Oryctolagus cuniculus: one gene and its partner. The protein of the gene in region 1 purifies or fractionates together with the protein of each later gene. This does not show direct contact. Links are inferred from orthologs where the notes say so. Each region holds a gene or a part of one and is shown on either strand. Other genes may lie near its edges.

Region 1 (8,040 bases):
AAGACAGACTGACAGGTTCAAAACAGCGTCAGAGAACTTCAGCCTACAGCAGAGGTCAGTAAATTAGAAGAAGGAAGTGAAGCCATCGGTGAGCATGGGAGTAACTACTCTCACTTCTCACGTGAATGTGCACCCCTGTCACTCAAGGTCTCACTGAAATGTAGCTGTGGATTTAGCAGATCCTGAGTGAGGCCTGCATTTCCGATGAGTCCTCATACAGTGCTCATCACCGGACCACACTTTGACTGGCAATGAATTAAAGAATAAGAAACTTCTGAACATACAACCCATGTTCTACTCCTTAAAGGGAGGGGTGTCATTGCTAGCTCTAAAGTGGCTCTTTTGAACCATTTGAACCAGCTAGTACACTGATATGATTAAGAGCCAAAGAAAGCAGGTAACAATATTGAAAATATTAATCTAAAACTTAGATCTGCTTATCAGGCTCAGGTACTATGCTTAGCATTTTTTAATTTTTTAATTTTTATTTTTTTAATTTTTGACAGGCAGAGTGGACAGTGAGAGAGAGAGAGAGACAGAGAGAAAGGTCTTCCTTTTGCCGTTGGTTCACCCTCCAATGGCTGCCGCAGCCGGTGCACTGTGGCCGGTGCATCGCACTGATCCGAAGCCAGGAGCCAGGTGCTTCTCCTGGTCTCCCATGGGGTGCAGGGCCCAAGCACTTGGGCCATCCTCCACTGCACTCCCGGGCCATAGCAGAGAGCTGGCCTGGAAGAGGGGCAACCGGGACAGCATCCGGCGCCCCGACCAGGACTAGAACCCGGTGTGCCGGTGCCGCAAGGCAGAGGATTAGCCTATTGAGCCACAGTGCCGGCCTATGCTTAGCATATTAAATATCTTATTTCACTTAATCTTTAAAAACCTTATGTCCCTTAGTTGTTCAATAGCCCCTTAGTCCCTATGGATTATAAGTAGTTCTCTGGGGATGCAGAAACAGACACACCTAACATCAAGCAGGTGTACAAGGCTTGAAGATAGTGAGGCTGGAATTCGAACCCATGCTCAGAATTGACAAGCGCGTCACTGTGCTAGAGTGCCTCTGGTGAGTCTGGTGCCTGGGACGCTTTCGAGGGCTCTGAGCTGCAGGGGACACTGGTTTTTACCCCTCACCCACACAGGACTGGTTAGTGAGGATCACTTCCGTCACACAGAACCTGTGTGACTCCCAGGCTTAGAACATAAAGTTTTGGCATTGAGACTCAAACATTTTCCTTGGGGGGGCTACTCAGCAAATACCTACCTGTTCACGCTTATCTCCCTTGGTGTAGCCAAAGTGGTCCATCAAGACTTTGGAAACATAATCAGGAACTTGACCATCAACCCAATACAAAGCCTTATTGACACTGTCTGGGAAAAATCCTTGCTTTCCAAAAAGAGCTTCCAGCGTTGGCTCAAATCCTTTTCCTTCTAAGCCAATCTGATAAAAAAAAAATCAGGCAAGAAAAACCCATTGGGTTTTATTGCTGTTATATGTTGGTCTCCTAGTCCCCTCTATGTCCATTTAATTATACCAGTGTTTGATCACTACCATGGGGCAGGAGCTGAGCTTAACACTTCACATCAGGTGTCTTATTTAAATCCCACTAGAATCTTAGGATGCATTCACCTTTTTCTAGAAGAGGTGGCAGAAGTTCAGAGAGGATAAATAATTGAACCAGGGATTCAGAGTTGAGAGTGGATTTGGTGTTTGAACCAGATATGACTACACAGTCCATGGATTTCCATGGATTTTGGATTGCAGGGCTTCTCTGGCATATCTGCATTTCCATTATCACTAAGAATTGCTTCAGAGGACCCCTTGTGAGGGGAGAGGTAGATGAGCCTCAAAGGGGCGGTACAGACTGCCTGATGGTTCCTGCTCCTGCCCAGGCTGGATTGTGGCTCCCTTAGCTTTCTTCTTATGGTGTCATTCAGAATGGACTAGAGAACTTATGACTCTGCTTCAGTCTCATGCATACCTCGAAAAGGTCAGCTGGAGCAAATCCAAAGACAGTAAGGGTCGTTTTCAGCATGCTTTCTTTAGGAAGGTAATTATTTGGATCAAAAATCATATTCCCTTCGATTTTGGCTGAGACTGGGTCAAGTGATGGGAGTGAAACAGATTTGGAAAGTTGATAGTTCCGGGAAAATTTTCTGAAGTCCATGACAGTTGGAAGTTGAGATTCTCTTAGAGCTTCTTTCACTACATTTTTCAGACTGTATGGAAAGAAGAAACATATTTTGAGCCCACACACTATGTGACTTACCCACTGTCTCTTATACCACAAGAAAGTATGGATTTCTAGTTGCAATTTTTAAAAAATTTTTAAAAGATTTTATTTATTTATTTGACAGCTAGAGTTACAGACAGTGTGAGAGAGAGACAGAGAGAAAGGTCTTCCTTCCATTGGTTCACTTCCCAAATGGCCGCAATGGCCGGAGCTGCGCTGATCTGAAGCCAGGAGCCAGGTGCTTCTTCCTGGTCTCCCATGCGGGTATAGGGGCCCAAGCATTGGGCCATCTTTTAGTGCTTTCGCAGGCCACAGCAGAGAGCTGGACTGGAAGAGGAGCAACCGGGACTAGAACCGGCGCCCATATGGGATGCTGACGCTGCAGGCAGAGGGTTAACCTAGTGCCCCTCTAGTTGCAATTTTAATATATGGGTAGCATTCTCCTAGATCTTTGGCTTAGGCTCTGCTGCACATTTGCACAAGGGTTTGTTGCAGAAGAAAGCACACTCCATGAAGGGGAGGCAGTAGCTCTACCTGAATTGAGGCCTGGAATTCTAGCCCTGGGCCCTCAGAAGCAGATGGGTATGGGGCGATTACTCTTACTTACTCTTGGATGTACAGTTCTTCTGAGTTCAAGATGTTGGCAAGGTGGGAAGCCACAAAGTTCTTCACCTGCTCATTCCGTTCCCCGGGGAGAAGTTGGGCAATTTGGTTAATAGCTGACTGGGAAGCTCCCCTGATCAGCATGAGATAGGCAGCCAGTCGCTTGTCCACTGGAGAAGTATCATTGAGGAAAGTCTGAAGAAGGACACCCTGGACCTGCAGCCCAGAGAGAAGACTGTTATGGGTGTCCTTTGGTTGAGTGTAGACTGTGTATGACCAACACTGGCATGACTTGCTAGCTCTTTCTTCTGTGCAAGTCTAGTGTCTTCCTAATAACTTCACATGCTGGTACTGAATCTTCTCACACTTTCCCCCAGAGCAACCAGCTCAAGATAGGACTCTCAGAAGACTCCCATCAAAAATGTGAATTCAGATGCGTTAGGGCATACTAACTATGACTTGCTATGAGATCTGCCACTGAGTGAAGATAAAGTTGTTTTAACATTGTTCTTTCAATGTGAGGATCAGAGTGGAAAGGGTTAGTGAGAAGTAGGGGCTAATAAATGCGGCAGTCTGCAAAGCTCTGGAGTCCTTGCCGTGTAAGCAGGGGCCTGGTTCACTGTCCTGGTCTGGGGGCACTTGGGACAATTAAGCATGTTTTCCCAAGACGGCCGTGATGAAAGGAGGCCGGCAGGCAGCGCAGTTCTGTGTTCTACTTGCTGCAGGAGCAGCGAGCTCGCATGCCACACGTGCTTGGCACTCAAGTCAATAGACTTGTTGAAATATGCAACTCGAAAAGACTAGAAGAAAGTCACCAGAGTGATGAAGTTTAAAATCTCATTCCCCTTGTGCCGTCCAAATCCCTGTTCATCTGAACAAACATTCACTTTCAGACCTTCTCTGTGGATTTTACCTCGTCTGTAATTTCCATCTTCCTCAGGGCCTGGATGGCGGCTTTCTGAATCAGCAGGGATGGCTTTGTACTTTTGATGCATTTCAGGACAGAATTCTTCACTCTTGGTGTTACCTGCTCCATGGTTCTGCCCATATTTCCGATGGCCTGCATTAGGGGAAAGAATTGATCAGGGTGTAGGATAAGTAAGAGGTGTGTGGGAAAAGCATCTGTGACATAGCGCATTTGACACAAAAGCCTGAAAGTACCCTGAGAATCAGGTAGGTGCGGTCTTCATCTCCATTGCACTCTGTGCCAATCTGCTCCACCAGGTAGTCAGCAATGTCCTGCAGGCCCTGGGTCACCCTACGGGTTGTCATGTGATAGCTACAGAATAAGAGAGGAGAATTAGAACTCACTGTGAGGTTTGATTAACCTCCAGACTTGTCTACTGATTTCTTCTTTCAAGTCATTTCAAAATGATCTGTAGAAAAGAGAGAGAGCAGCAGGGCTTGAAAGTGGAGGGAGGGGCACACATTCATACAGAGCTGTGGGTTTTTCTCTGCTCCTAGGCAGAGCAATACAGTCTGAAGACTCACCTGTTGACCACATGGCTCAGCGCATAAAAGGTAGCCCGGCTCTGCTGTTCCTTGGTCACACTGAAGATCTCCTGTAGCCTCTGTTCTGAGGGCTCTGGGATCAAGGCCAGCAAGTAGGTGACAACATCTATCAGCAGCGGGTTGGCGTCTACACTTTTCAGCCACTGGAGGATGTGAGTGTAACACTGGGGCTGTCCGCACTGAACTAAGGCTTGCAAAGTGATGGGGCTGAGAAGAGAAGTACAGAGAGTTATGTAGAACCCATGGCGTGTCTCTGCCAGGAGTGCCCTATTCCCCTCATTCTCTATCCAAATCAAGCCATCCTTCAACCTCCAGCTTGGAACCCAGGAACCTTGACTCCTTCCCTAGGGGTACCACCCACTGTAGGAGCACCGTTGAGGAAAGTCTGCAGAAGGACCCCTGAACCTGTAGCCAAATGAAGAGACTCTTATTACTGTCCTTTGGTTAGGACACAGAACATGCCTGGCAAACGTTGACATGGTCTCATTCCTGGCCTCTGTCCCTTCATAACCTTCATAACCTTCCTAGCACTGTGAGCCAGTGACCTCACATGTAGAGAAATCACGTTTGTTTGCTTGAGTTCTCTCTCCATTGGCCTGTAATCTTCCATAGGGCACAGGTGGCTTATCTTCTCAAACTTTCCAGGGTACACTCAATAGAAACAGGAATTAGATGATGCTCATCAAAATGTGGGAATGATTTACCTTATAACTTAACATCTACACAGTTGCCTAGAATGCAGTGTGCGTGTGCGTTGCCCATGGAATTGCAAGCACTCTATCTATCAAACAGTAACTGATTGATCAGTTGATTAATTGCATTGATATTTAGATGGTCTCTGAGATTCTCTGGTTGAGGGTTGAAGGTTTGGCCAGCTGCCATAGGTTGTATGAAAGACTGAGCTGCAGTCATTAAAGACATACCTGGAGACCTCAATCAGCTGGGGCAGGAGGGACGCAACCGCCTCGCTGCTGAGGCCTCTCAGCTCGGTAACCAGTTTATTGAAGAGGTTTGCCCGCTGGGCGTTCTGCTCAGAAACGGACAGCGCTCTCAGTTCCTGGAGAGTCTTCAGCACGGGCTCAGTCTGCTTTGGTGGTGATGTGGACTTGGTGTTCTCGAAGGCCAGACCCACCCTCTGTGTACCTGGAAGAAGGAAGGCATCAAAGGAATAGGGTCACTTATTTCTATCGTCCAAACACATCTTCATCCACCAGAAACTGGGAACTGGGGAGGCGTCAGCAAGGGGGAAAAGAGATTATCCTGGGTGTGTTCAACACCTGCTAGATACCTGGCTTAGTGACAGGTGACTGACTGAACTGTGGTCACTCACTCGTCTACCCCCAAGGGCTCATGTTCTTCCCCAACTTAAAGATTAGAGCACTGAGATGCAGAGATGAGCAACTTGGGTTTTCTGAGAACCCTCTGGGTCTAAGAGGCAGAGGTGGACTTGAATCCAGTTTTGTCGGAATCTAGTATCAGATTACCCTTTGTTGGAGAACCAGAGGGGAGGTGCTGAGGTGACACAGTGACAGCTGAGGCTCAATTTCTTGGCACTCATCCACCATTTCTTCTAATTGGATCTACCAGCAGCTTGTGGGGCGGGGAGGCCTTGCCAGGGGGAGGGGTACATGGGAGCATGGAAGTGGGGTGTAGCAGAGTGCTGGCTTAGATTAGACCTGGCACTCAGTTTGCACTGCCTCTAATGTTCTGTGACCTTGGGTGCATTACTAATCCTCTCTGTGTCACATCGCCCTCTGTAGGATGGGCATAAAAGCGTATGTCTCACACTTTCCTGTGGACAAGGAAATCAGTGAGATAGCATATAAGAGAGAGTTTGGTAGATTTAGATACCCTACACTGTGGGGTTACGGTTGGACTAGAGATCTCTAGTACTAAAGATCAAGTCCTGAGACCACTATGTGGCTTGACCCTGAAGATCCTCTCCCACCTGCCCCACCTCCTGCAGACCAGCCCCAGGCCTTCTACAGGGTGGATGAGAAAGTCAGTTCTACCCTAAGTGCAGCCTTACACTTGGGACCGTAAAGGAACCTAGGTAGCTTTGGAAACGTCTTCCTTTTCTTTATGCCACTGCCCTTTGAGCTTCTGAAAGGAATGTGCTTTCTCACTGGAAGTGGTTTCCCAGCCTCAGTGCCAGAGTGCACCTCACTCATGAGTCAGCAGACATTCACCAGGGCCCAGAAAAGAGCAAAGCCGTGGCTGGCACATCTGCAGACTTCCCAGCAACCACGCGGACGGAGTCTCACCTTCAGTAAAGAAGCGGCTGTTGACCTTGGGTGTTTCTTCAAGTTTCAAAGACTGTGTCACGTGACCCATCATCCCATACTTATTCCTGGTTAAAGGGGGGAAGGACCTTGAGTCATGGACGGCCAGCTCCCCAGAACATTCTCCCGTTCCGTGTGTACTGTTGCCCTCATCCCTGTGCCTATCCATATCCTGTCTACCTTTTGAAGCATTTTTAGATCCAGCTACCCTTGACCCCCGGACAAGTAGCCCCTCCCCCCTCCTGGTCACATTAGTTGTCCCTCCACCACAGTATTTGTACCTTATACCGTCTACCAGTCTGCAGGGCCCAAGGGTAGAGGCTAACTCTGTGCCACAGAATTCTTTGTATCTCCCACAGCACAGCACACAGATATAGCAGTTACTAAGTAAATTCCAGTTGACTGTTGTCTTCATGATGGATTTGGATATACAAGTCTCCAGTTAAAATCCCAAATCCTTCCTCACGCCTTTCCTAATCTAGGCCCCCTGCAATGACATCCAGCTTTTCTGGACCTACAGCCCTTCAAGTCTGGGTCTGAGATTATCTTTCATTGTTCTTAAGTTGTTTGCATGTCTAAGGCTTTTCTACCTTATTGCCTGTCAGCTTGAAAAGGAGGATAAGGATGGTGTCTGCTTTGTACCTGACCGTAGCTCCCTTCCAGGCACAGCCTAGCCTGAAACAGGGCCGTGGAGAAACCCACATGGACCCGTCAGGTGAGAAATCGGGTGCAGCAGGTGACCTACTTGTGGGAGAAAGGCAGGAACAGGTGCTGCTCCTCACAGGTGGCTTCTGACACATGCTTCCTTTTGGAGTCCAGGAGGTACCGGCAGGACTGGCTGCTGCTAATCAGAGTTGACAAGGGGCGGATCTGTGAATGAGATCGGAGAACAGGATGTTCAGCTCTCGGGCCTTGAACCTGTCTTAGGATCTGCCTTCAAGGCAGAAAGGAATGGGAGTCTTGCCCAGCAGATAAACCCAGTAAACAGAACTGGACAGTTGGCATTTAGATAAGGGGAGGCAAGAAGCTGGCATAGCCAAGGGGAGTTGAGCTGTGGGTTCCTCTTATTCCACCTCAGTGGATCTCTCATCTTGCACAAAGTGTGTGCCTGTGGCCTCCACACACCCATCCTGCCACACACAACAGCTCACACAATATGAGACTCCTACACTTCCTTGCCTGCAAGCCTTTCATGTGCAAGTCCTTTATGTTTTTCAAGTCCATGCTTTTCCCAATGAGTCATGTGAATAATACTTTCGCTGTCTCGGTCAGGCCTAGCCCTGCTGTCTGCTCAGTGTACCAGTTTCCTGGGTACCCCACGCGCTGTCCTTTATTGGCATGCACATGAATCTTAGCGTTCCTGCAAGGGGAAAGGTGCAGGGTTCGTCTCCCACTGTCCTTTCCTCAGAGCTTGT
Region 2 (8,040 bases), on another chromosome or scaffold:
GAAGCTCCTGGCTCCTGGCTTCGGACTGGCACAGCTCCGGCCGTGGCGGCCATTTGGGGAGTGAACCAACTCTCCCTCTCACTGTCTGTCACTCTACCTCTCAAATAAATACAAAATCTTAAAAAAAAAAAAAAAACCTCTGTCTACATACATATCTGGGAGGAAAATGACATTTGCCTTCTGTTATATCCCCACAGCCTTGATGGAAAGGTATAAAAAGTCTTTCCCCAAATAACCTTGTCTGTGATCCTCACTGAAGTTAGGCTGTCAACTCACAGGGATGACAAAGAACAACAAAATTCCAAGTAGGAAAAGGCCATCATGAACATCTAAAGCATAGGACCAAAGGATTATCCAAAACAGAGCCTGGTAAGAAACAAGGGACAATTTGAATCCAAAAGTGCTATGTTCACAGCACATGAGTTCCAGAGAAGCCCCAGTTTAATCAACCATTGTTATCTTCTGTCCTTGTGGATTACCTAACCATATAGACTAGACCACGGCCTGATATTTTCTGCCTACTGTATGTACTATGACCAATAATTTTACTCAGTGGACAATTTTCACTGCACCACGCTTTGGGTAAGGCATCTTGTATTTGACCCCAGAAGCAAGTAGTGATTACTTTGGTACCTGTTGAATAAAGAAGATACTCTAAACCCACTGAGTAAATTATGCAAACAATCACCTGAACAGGCTGTGAACAGAGGGTGTTACTTCAGAAAAAACACATCCACTTCTAGAATTTTGTAATAGCAAAAAGCTGTTTCTTTTTAATAATACTAATTACATAAAGTGGGACATAATCGTACGTGATCCTCAACCAGGGAATGAATGTTTGGGGTTCTTAGATGTTTACACCTGAAGACAGATTGTTATCTTTTAGCAACCCTAAGATTTTTCAGGGGGCACCCCAATCCAGTGTTTGGTCAAGATTAGGGTGCTCCTCAGGTCTAGCCTTATTGTCCACATCAAACATAGGTGAAGGGGTACCACATTCTCCACATTTGAAGCTCCATCAGGCTCCCTGCCCCTACTCCACTGCAGTCCTACTCAGTGATGGCACAGATGCAGGGTGAAACAGCAGGAGAAAATACACTGATGTTAATCAGGAAGGGAGGGGGGTGCGACTTACTTCCAGGACTTCACATTGGAATTGTGCCTTGGCAGTGAGAGGTAGCCCAAGGCCCGTCCCAGGAAAAGAAGCAGGCACAGGGGCCAGGATTCAGGCTCCATTTTGACCCAACATTTATTATCCTTTTACAACATGTCATTTTTTGGTTTAGAAACTGCTTGTGATTAGTTTTCCAACAATAACTCAAAAGCATGTAAAATAAAAATCAACCTACTCTCTATATAAACACTCAGCAACTGTGGCCCCTCACCCACCTACCCAGGTTGGATAGGGGGAAGGGAGGGCTTGGGCAGCATTGAGTGAAGTGCAGATGCTTTCCTGTGGGGGTGGCGCTAGTGCCTGGGTTCACATCCCACACAGATCCCCTGCACTGCCTCAAACTATAACAGAAATGGCGTAGGCCCAAGGCCCAATTCCCTGTTGGTAATTCACTCTCCGCCTCCCAAATGAAAATTGCTTTTATTTTTATCGCTTTTGTATTTTTTGCAACAGAAACCCCCTGTCCAGAGTCTGACTGTAGCTGAACTGTTCAGACTGAAGAATGAAGCAGGCCGTGGGCGCACCCCTGGTCCCTCCTGGGCAAGCGCCCCCACCCCCTGGGAACAAGGTCCAGCCAGGCCAGCTCGCTGCATGCTGGCCAACATCACTTAGCCATACAGGTCATCATCATTGTCTTCTGTATACACACTGCCGCCTGTGCCGCCTCCACTGCCCTGACTGGGGCCAGCTCCACCCTGGTTCCCTGAAGGGAATCTGTGTACAAGAGCAGAATCAAAAATGAAAGTTAGAACAGGCCTGCACAGGATTTTCAGAACTACCCATCTAGCCTCCTTAGGGACTCCCAACACCTTGTTTGTGTAGGTCCCCAAGGCAATTTAACCACTGCTCACTGCCCTCAGTTACCTGAAGCTGCCAAATCCTCGACTCTGCTGAAGGGTCTGGGCAAACATCTCATACTTCCGAATGTCATTGTCACTGACAGAACGGCGGGCAAAGCGCATGGCTTCCTCAAAGTGATCTCGGCGAATCTCTGGCACTGGATCATCCTCTTCTACTTCCTATAGTGTTGGTAAACACAGACCACCAGAGTAGTTAAGGATTAGCCTGGACTCCATTCCTGGCCTCCCTGCCTCTCATTATTGTGGGAGTTTACTGGTTTGCCTGCCCCTCCAAATCCAACCTAAACTTCCTAAGACTGAGTCACTGCTCTGCTTAAAAATTCATCAGTGCATTCTCGCAAAGGGCAAACTATACAGATGAAAATCATATCAGTGGTTGCCAGGGGCTTAGAGAAGATGCTGTCTCAAGTGGCCTGAGGACACTTTATGGAACAGAAATTTCTTTATCTCAACTATGGTAATAGCCACAGACTTTACATATTTCTATCAAAAAGCATGAAAACTGATGTCAGCATCAGAGGGTTATGCCATCACCTGTCTGCCATACCAGCACCCCATGAGTGCCAGTTCAAGTCCCCGCTGCTCCTCTTCTGATCCAGCTCCCTGCTAATGCCCCTGGGAAAGCAGTGGAAGATGACCCAAATGCACCCACATGGGAGACCCAGATAAGTTCCTGGCTTTAGCCTGGCCCCAGCTCCAGTTGTTGCGGCTATTTGGGAAGTAAACCAGAAGATGGAAGATCTCTCTGTCTCTCCCTTTCTCTGTTAACTCTGCCTCTTGAATAAAAATAAATCTTAAAAAATTCCTGCAATTCTAGTACTAGAGAAAATTATGTGGGCTGCTTTTCCCTTTGTCAAACCCTTTCTATTCCACTGAGGCTACCCCAATTGCTTTGAATTATGAAATAGCTTCCTAGGATTATGACATCAGATTTTAAGCTCCTAAGGAAGGGAAAAATGTCACAGACCCCTTCCAAAAGACAAAGAAAGTCACTCATTAAGTCCTAAATATAATGCCAGGATACAGTGGGAATCAAGTGAGATGGTAAGAGTCCTTACCATCACAGAGCTTGCACATACACACATACAAACCTGTATTTCATTTTGGGGGTTCTATGGCTGCCTTCCCCAACCACCAAGGAGAGATCTATAGATCCTAGGATTAGATTCTGGGTTTGAAGCTCTTTCCCTTTTTTTGCTACACAACCACACTTTAATTTCCCTCCAGGACCTAGTTTAGACTGAGCATATAGCCCGCCCATCTCTTCTCAGCCTTATTCCAGACCAAACAGGCTCACTTCAGTGTTCTCTTTGGTGTCCTGATAAACATCTTAGTCAGAGCATCCTTCCAATACCATGCATTCTCAACTCTAGGGCATGGTGGAGACTGTTCCCTGACTCCTCAGGATTGAGACAGCTGGGGAAAAGATGCAGACTCACTCACCATGGCTGATGGGTTTGTTTGCCTCTCCCGTTCTCGCCTGATCTCACTTTCAATGGATTCACGGATGGCCAGTTTGCAAGCACGTTGGCAAATCTCTGTTAAGTCAGCTCCAGAGAAGCCATTGGTCATCTTAGCCAGGAACTCCAAATCCACATCCTAAAAGAAGCAAAGGAGCTATCAACATTTAGGTTTTCCTTCCCTGGAATATACAATTTTTGAGGCTACCCAAGCACTCCCAACTTCAGTTTGCCCCAGCTTCTGCCACTCCATTTTTCCTTCAAATAACATAATCCTTCAGACCTTCCACTTTCCTTTAGACCAATCCCATCCTCAGAAATCCCCAATGAATTTTATCTAAGGACTCATAGTAATCCCCATGGCCTGTGACCCTGCACCTGCCTTGGCAACAGGAGACTTGCGCAGGTTAGCTTTGAGGATGGCAACACGGGACTTCTCATCAGGAAGTGGGATGTAGATGAGCTGATCAAGACGTCCAGGTCTCAAGATGGCAGGATCAATGATATCAGGCCGGTTGGTAGCGCCAATGATGAACACATTCTTTTTTGTGGACATGCCATCCATTTCTGTCAGGATCTGGTTGATGACTCGGTCAGCAGCCCCACCACCATCTCCAATGTTACCACCACGAGCCTTGGCAATTGAATCCAGCTCATCAAAGAATAGCACACAGGGAGCAGCTTGGCGGGCCTGTAGGACGGACAGACTAACTCAACCAGGAACATAACTGGGTCTCAAATCTTAGAAGGAAAATGCAGTGAACTTCACTGCCCCACCTGGGTAACCAGCAGTAAGATGGTTTGATTCTCTTAAAGAAAACAGCCTCTATCCCTACCTTGCCCCAAGCAAGGGAACAGATAGCCCTCCTTCCCTCTCTCCCTTCTATAGCTCACCTTGTCAAAGATTTCCCTAACATTGGCTTCAGACTCCCCAAACCACATAGTAAGCAGCTCAGGACCCTTGATGGAGATGAAGTTGGCCTGACATTCATTAGCAATGGCTTTGGCCAGCAGAGTTTTCCCACATCCAGGAGGTCCATAGAATAGAACTCCCTTGGAGGGTGTCATGCCAAACTTGAGGAATTTGTCTGGATGCTCCACAGGATACTAGAAGGAAATGAGAAAAAGATTCAAGGCTATCTTCATATTTTTAAAGAAATCTAACCAAACAGAAGCATCTTTCCCACCACTTCATGGTGTACTCCACCATGTAAAATCCAGGTTCTCTAGAAGCAGAAAGACTTCCTAGTGCCTCAAATTCTAAGAGAATGGCAGGTCTCTCGGTTGTGGCCACAACTCTTCAACGTGCTGACTCCCTGAGACCACCCAGGAGAGAATGAACTTCAATGAACTGAAGCAGTGATTCACCCTGGACCAAGTCAACCTACCTGGACCAGTTCCTGAAGTTCACGTTTGACATCCTCCAGGCCCCCGATGTCTTCCCAGGTTACTTGTGGTACCTCTACCACAGTTTCCCGCAGTGCTGATGGGTTGCTCTGACTTAAGGCCCACTAAAAAGGGAGGAAAAATGGAAATGAGACTTAACCAGGGGAGGGGTCAATGTATATACGACTGTACCAGAGGTAGAGGTATGGCCCTTACCCGGAAGTCATCCATAGTAACTGCCAGGGAGTTCATGACCTCAGCATCAATGGTCTCATCCTCTAGGTCAATGAGATCCATCTTCTTGCGGATGGCCTGCAGAGCAGCCTCCGAGCACAGGGCTGCTAAATCAGCACCCACGTGCCCATGAGTCTCATTGGCTACCTGCAGAGAGAAGATCTACTTACTATGCCATCTCAAAGACAGAGCTGCCTTCAGGAAGCTTGAAGACAACAGAATGTTGGCCCCTTCCCCTGATTTCTATATCTGGGTCATCCCATTTCCTTAACTAGCAGACCCTTCACTGGCTAGGGTTTAAATACTCAAGTCTGGGACTTGAGGCCTAGAAATAAAACTTGCCCAACAACTCAGGTTTACTTTTAACATATTATCAACTGAGACACATGCCAGCTCTGATTTCCTGAACTCAATCTGAGCTCATTTCCTTTCCCTTACCCATGAATCAAAACGAATCTAGTAACAGCTTAAGTTTATGTCCCTAGCCAGTTCCCTACAAACTGCCTAGGAAAAGAGATATCCTAACTCCTGGTCAGCTCTCATCACCACTCCACCTGTTCCAGGTCCACATCATCTGCCAGCTTCATGTTCTTGGTATGGATCTGAAGAATTTCCAAGCGTCCTGTAGCATCAGGGATTCCAATATCTACCTCCCTGTCAAAGCGACCTGTGGGACAGTGTGTGAACATAGACAGGGCTCATTTCTGGACCAGAGGGAAAAAGGAAGAAGCCTAAAGTGACTGATCATCTCAGTTAACTCAGAACTGTACTGGCATTAGCACTGAAAGTCCTATGTCTCTGGAAACCCCTCAGTCTCAAGCCAATCAGGATGGCTGGTCACTCTAGACAGGATACAGGATACAAGGACCCTTGTGCCCTACCACTGCAAAAAAACTTCAAGGAATCCTCATAATCAAATCAGGTGACTCAGATGAAGGATAGAGATTAAACTCAATAGATCTATAATCTCTCTATGAGCAAGGAAAGGGTGAAGGAAGCTGGAGTCCTTACCAAACCGTCGCAGTGCCGGGTCAATGCTGTTGGGTCTGTTGGTTGCTGCCATAACTATCACGTGTGCCCTCTGCTTTAGTCCATCCATAAGGGTCAACAATTGTGATACAATACGCCGCTCCACCTCCCCGTGAGTCTGGCAGGACAAATGTCTGGTCAGAAGCAATGTTAGGACCTTTCAACCTCCCACCATTCCCTCGGGTAAACTCCTACTTTCTCTCTTTTGGGAGCAATGGCATCCAGTTCATCAATGAAGATGATGGCAGGAGCATTCTTCTCCGCTTCCTCAAAGGCTTTACGAAGATTGCTCTCAGACTCACCAGCCAACTTGCTCATGATCTCAGGACCTGAAAGAAAACAAAATGAAGACAATGATAAAATTACAACCTTTCCCAGTCCCAAAATAAATCAGTTACCTTATCTGCCCTAGGATAGGTCCTGGATGAGAAGATACTAACTTCCGTCTACCTTCTCACCAATGCCAGCTATCACCCAGGACAGCCACAAAGCTGGGGTAGAGAAACCAAGCACATTTTTTTCAAAGTGTAAAGGTCTCTGGCAAGAGCAGGAGACATCACACAAGCTGGATCTCTACAGCTTAACATTCTCTAAGAGACAGGTGGTGTTGGCCCATCTTCCCTAAGCCTCTCAAATAGGCATCATACCTTTATTTTATTTTTTTTTTTAATTCCAACTTGCTCCCCCTTAAATATCTTGGGGCTGGCATTGTGGAGTAGCAGGTAAAGCTATCACCATGCCACACAAGCATCCCATATGGGAACCAGTTCACGTCTCAGCAGCTCTACTGCCAATCTAGCTCCCTGCTAAAGGCCTAGAAAAGCAGTGGAAGATGGCCTAAATGCCACCCACATAGGAGACCCAGATGAAGTTCCTGACTCCTGGCTTCAGCCTGGCTCAGACTGGGCCCTTGTGGTCATTTGGGGAGTAAACCAGCGGATGGAAGATCTCTGTCTCTCCCTCTCTCTGTAACTCTTTTAAATACATAAATATTCCTTACAAAAATGTACACAACTTTTTCTAGGTTGAGGGGAAAAGACAAAAAGTATCAGTATAAAATATCTCCCACTTGGCCGGCGCCACGGCTCACTAGGCTAATCCTCCGCCTGCGGCGCTGGCACACCGGGTTCTAGTCCCAGTCGGGGCGCCGGATTCTGTCCCGGTTGCCCCTCTTCCAGGCCAGCTCTCTGCTGTGGCCAGGGAGTGCAGTGGAGGATGGCCCAAGTGCTTGGGCCCTGCACCCCATGGGAGACCAGAAGCACCTGGCTCCTGCCATCGGATCAGTGCAGTGCGCCAGCCACAGCGTGCCGGCCGCGGCGGCCATTGGAGGGTGAACCAGCGGCAAAAGGAAGACCTTTCTCTCTGTCTCTCTCTCTCACTGTCCACTCTGCCTGTCAAAAAAAAAAAAAAAAAAAAAATCTCCCACTTGTTGCTGACCTGTCTATAATGTACCCCAGCAAAAGATGCTAAAGTGTGCATGAGAGCATGGCTGCAAATGGATGTTATCAATGAGCTGTTCAGGCCAGGGCTAGTTCTAGACAGACACAAGACAAATCAAATCTCTTACCATTGATCAGGAAGAAGAAGGCCCCAGTTTCATTTGCCACAGCTCGGGCAATCAGGGTCTTCCCTGTTCCAGGAGGTCCATAGAGCAGGATTCCCCGAGGAGGCTGGGGACCAACATAAGAGCAATTAGAATTAGACTCCTGACTTCTCAACGCCACTCACCTCAAACTGGCTTGACTAGGACTCTAGAAAGGGTGAGAATTAGAATTCAATTCTGGGAGCCGGCACTGTGGCGCAGCAGGTTAACGCCCTGGCCTGCAGTGCCAGCATCCCATATGGGTGCCGGTTCAAGTCCCAGCTGATCCACTTCTGATCCAGCTCTCTGCTGTGG

What was found. The genes of interacting proteins can lie anywhere in the genome.
Region 2: the proteins of APOB (region 1) and VCP purify together in Homo sapiens (affinity purification with western blotting, with the first as the bait; 3 studies listed by BioGRID). This does not show direct contact. The link is inferred for Oryctolagus cuniculus from reciprocal best matches to the Homo sapiens genes APOB and VCP.

Annotation. Positions count from the first base shown.
Region 1 is NC_091433.1:181,594,956-181,602,995, reverse strand, and holds part of APOB (apolipoprotein B), read right to left. Parts: intron 7,496-8,040; coding exon 7,371-7,495; intron 6,694-7,370; coding exon 6,608-6,693; intron 5,487-6,607; coding exon 5,267-5,486; intron 4,551-5,266; coding exon 4,323-4,550; intron 4,111-4,322; coding exon 3,993-4,110; intron 3,892-3,992; coding exon 3,745-3,891; intron 3,048-3,744; coding exon 2,836-3,047; intron 2,215-2,835; coding exon 1,977-2,214; intron 1,436-1,976; coding exon 1,259-1,435; intron 1-1,258. UniProt on the Homo sapiens protein: Apolipoprotein B is a major protein constituent of chylomicrons (apo B-48), LDL (apo B-100) and VLDL (apo B-100). Apo B-100 functions as a recognition signal for the cellular binding and internalization of LDL particles by the apoB/E receptor.
Region 2 is NC_091432.1:198,019,303-198,027,342, forward strand, and holds the end of VCP (transitional endoplasmic reticulum ATPase), read right to left. Parts: intron 7,814-8,040; coding exon 7,711-7,813; intron 6,473-7,710; coding exon 6,339-6,472; intron 6,262-6,338; coding exon 6,126-6,261; intron 5,782-6,125; coding exon 5,669-5,781; intron 5,262-5,668; coding exon 5,097-5,261; intron 5,006-5,096; coding exon 4,883-5,005; intron 4,602-4,882; coding exon 4,389-4,601; intron 4,186-4,388; coding exon 3,877-4,185; intron 3,634-3,876; coding exon 3,478-3,633; intron 2,194-3,477; coding exon 2,039-2,193; intron 1,889-2,038; coding exon 1,783-1,888; 3' UTR 746-1,782; downstream 1-745. UniProt on the Homo sapiens protein: Necessary for the fragmentation of Golgi stacks during mitosis and for their reassembly after mitosis. Involved in the formation of the transitional endoplasmic reticulum (tER).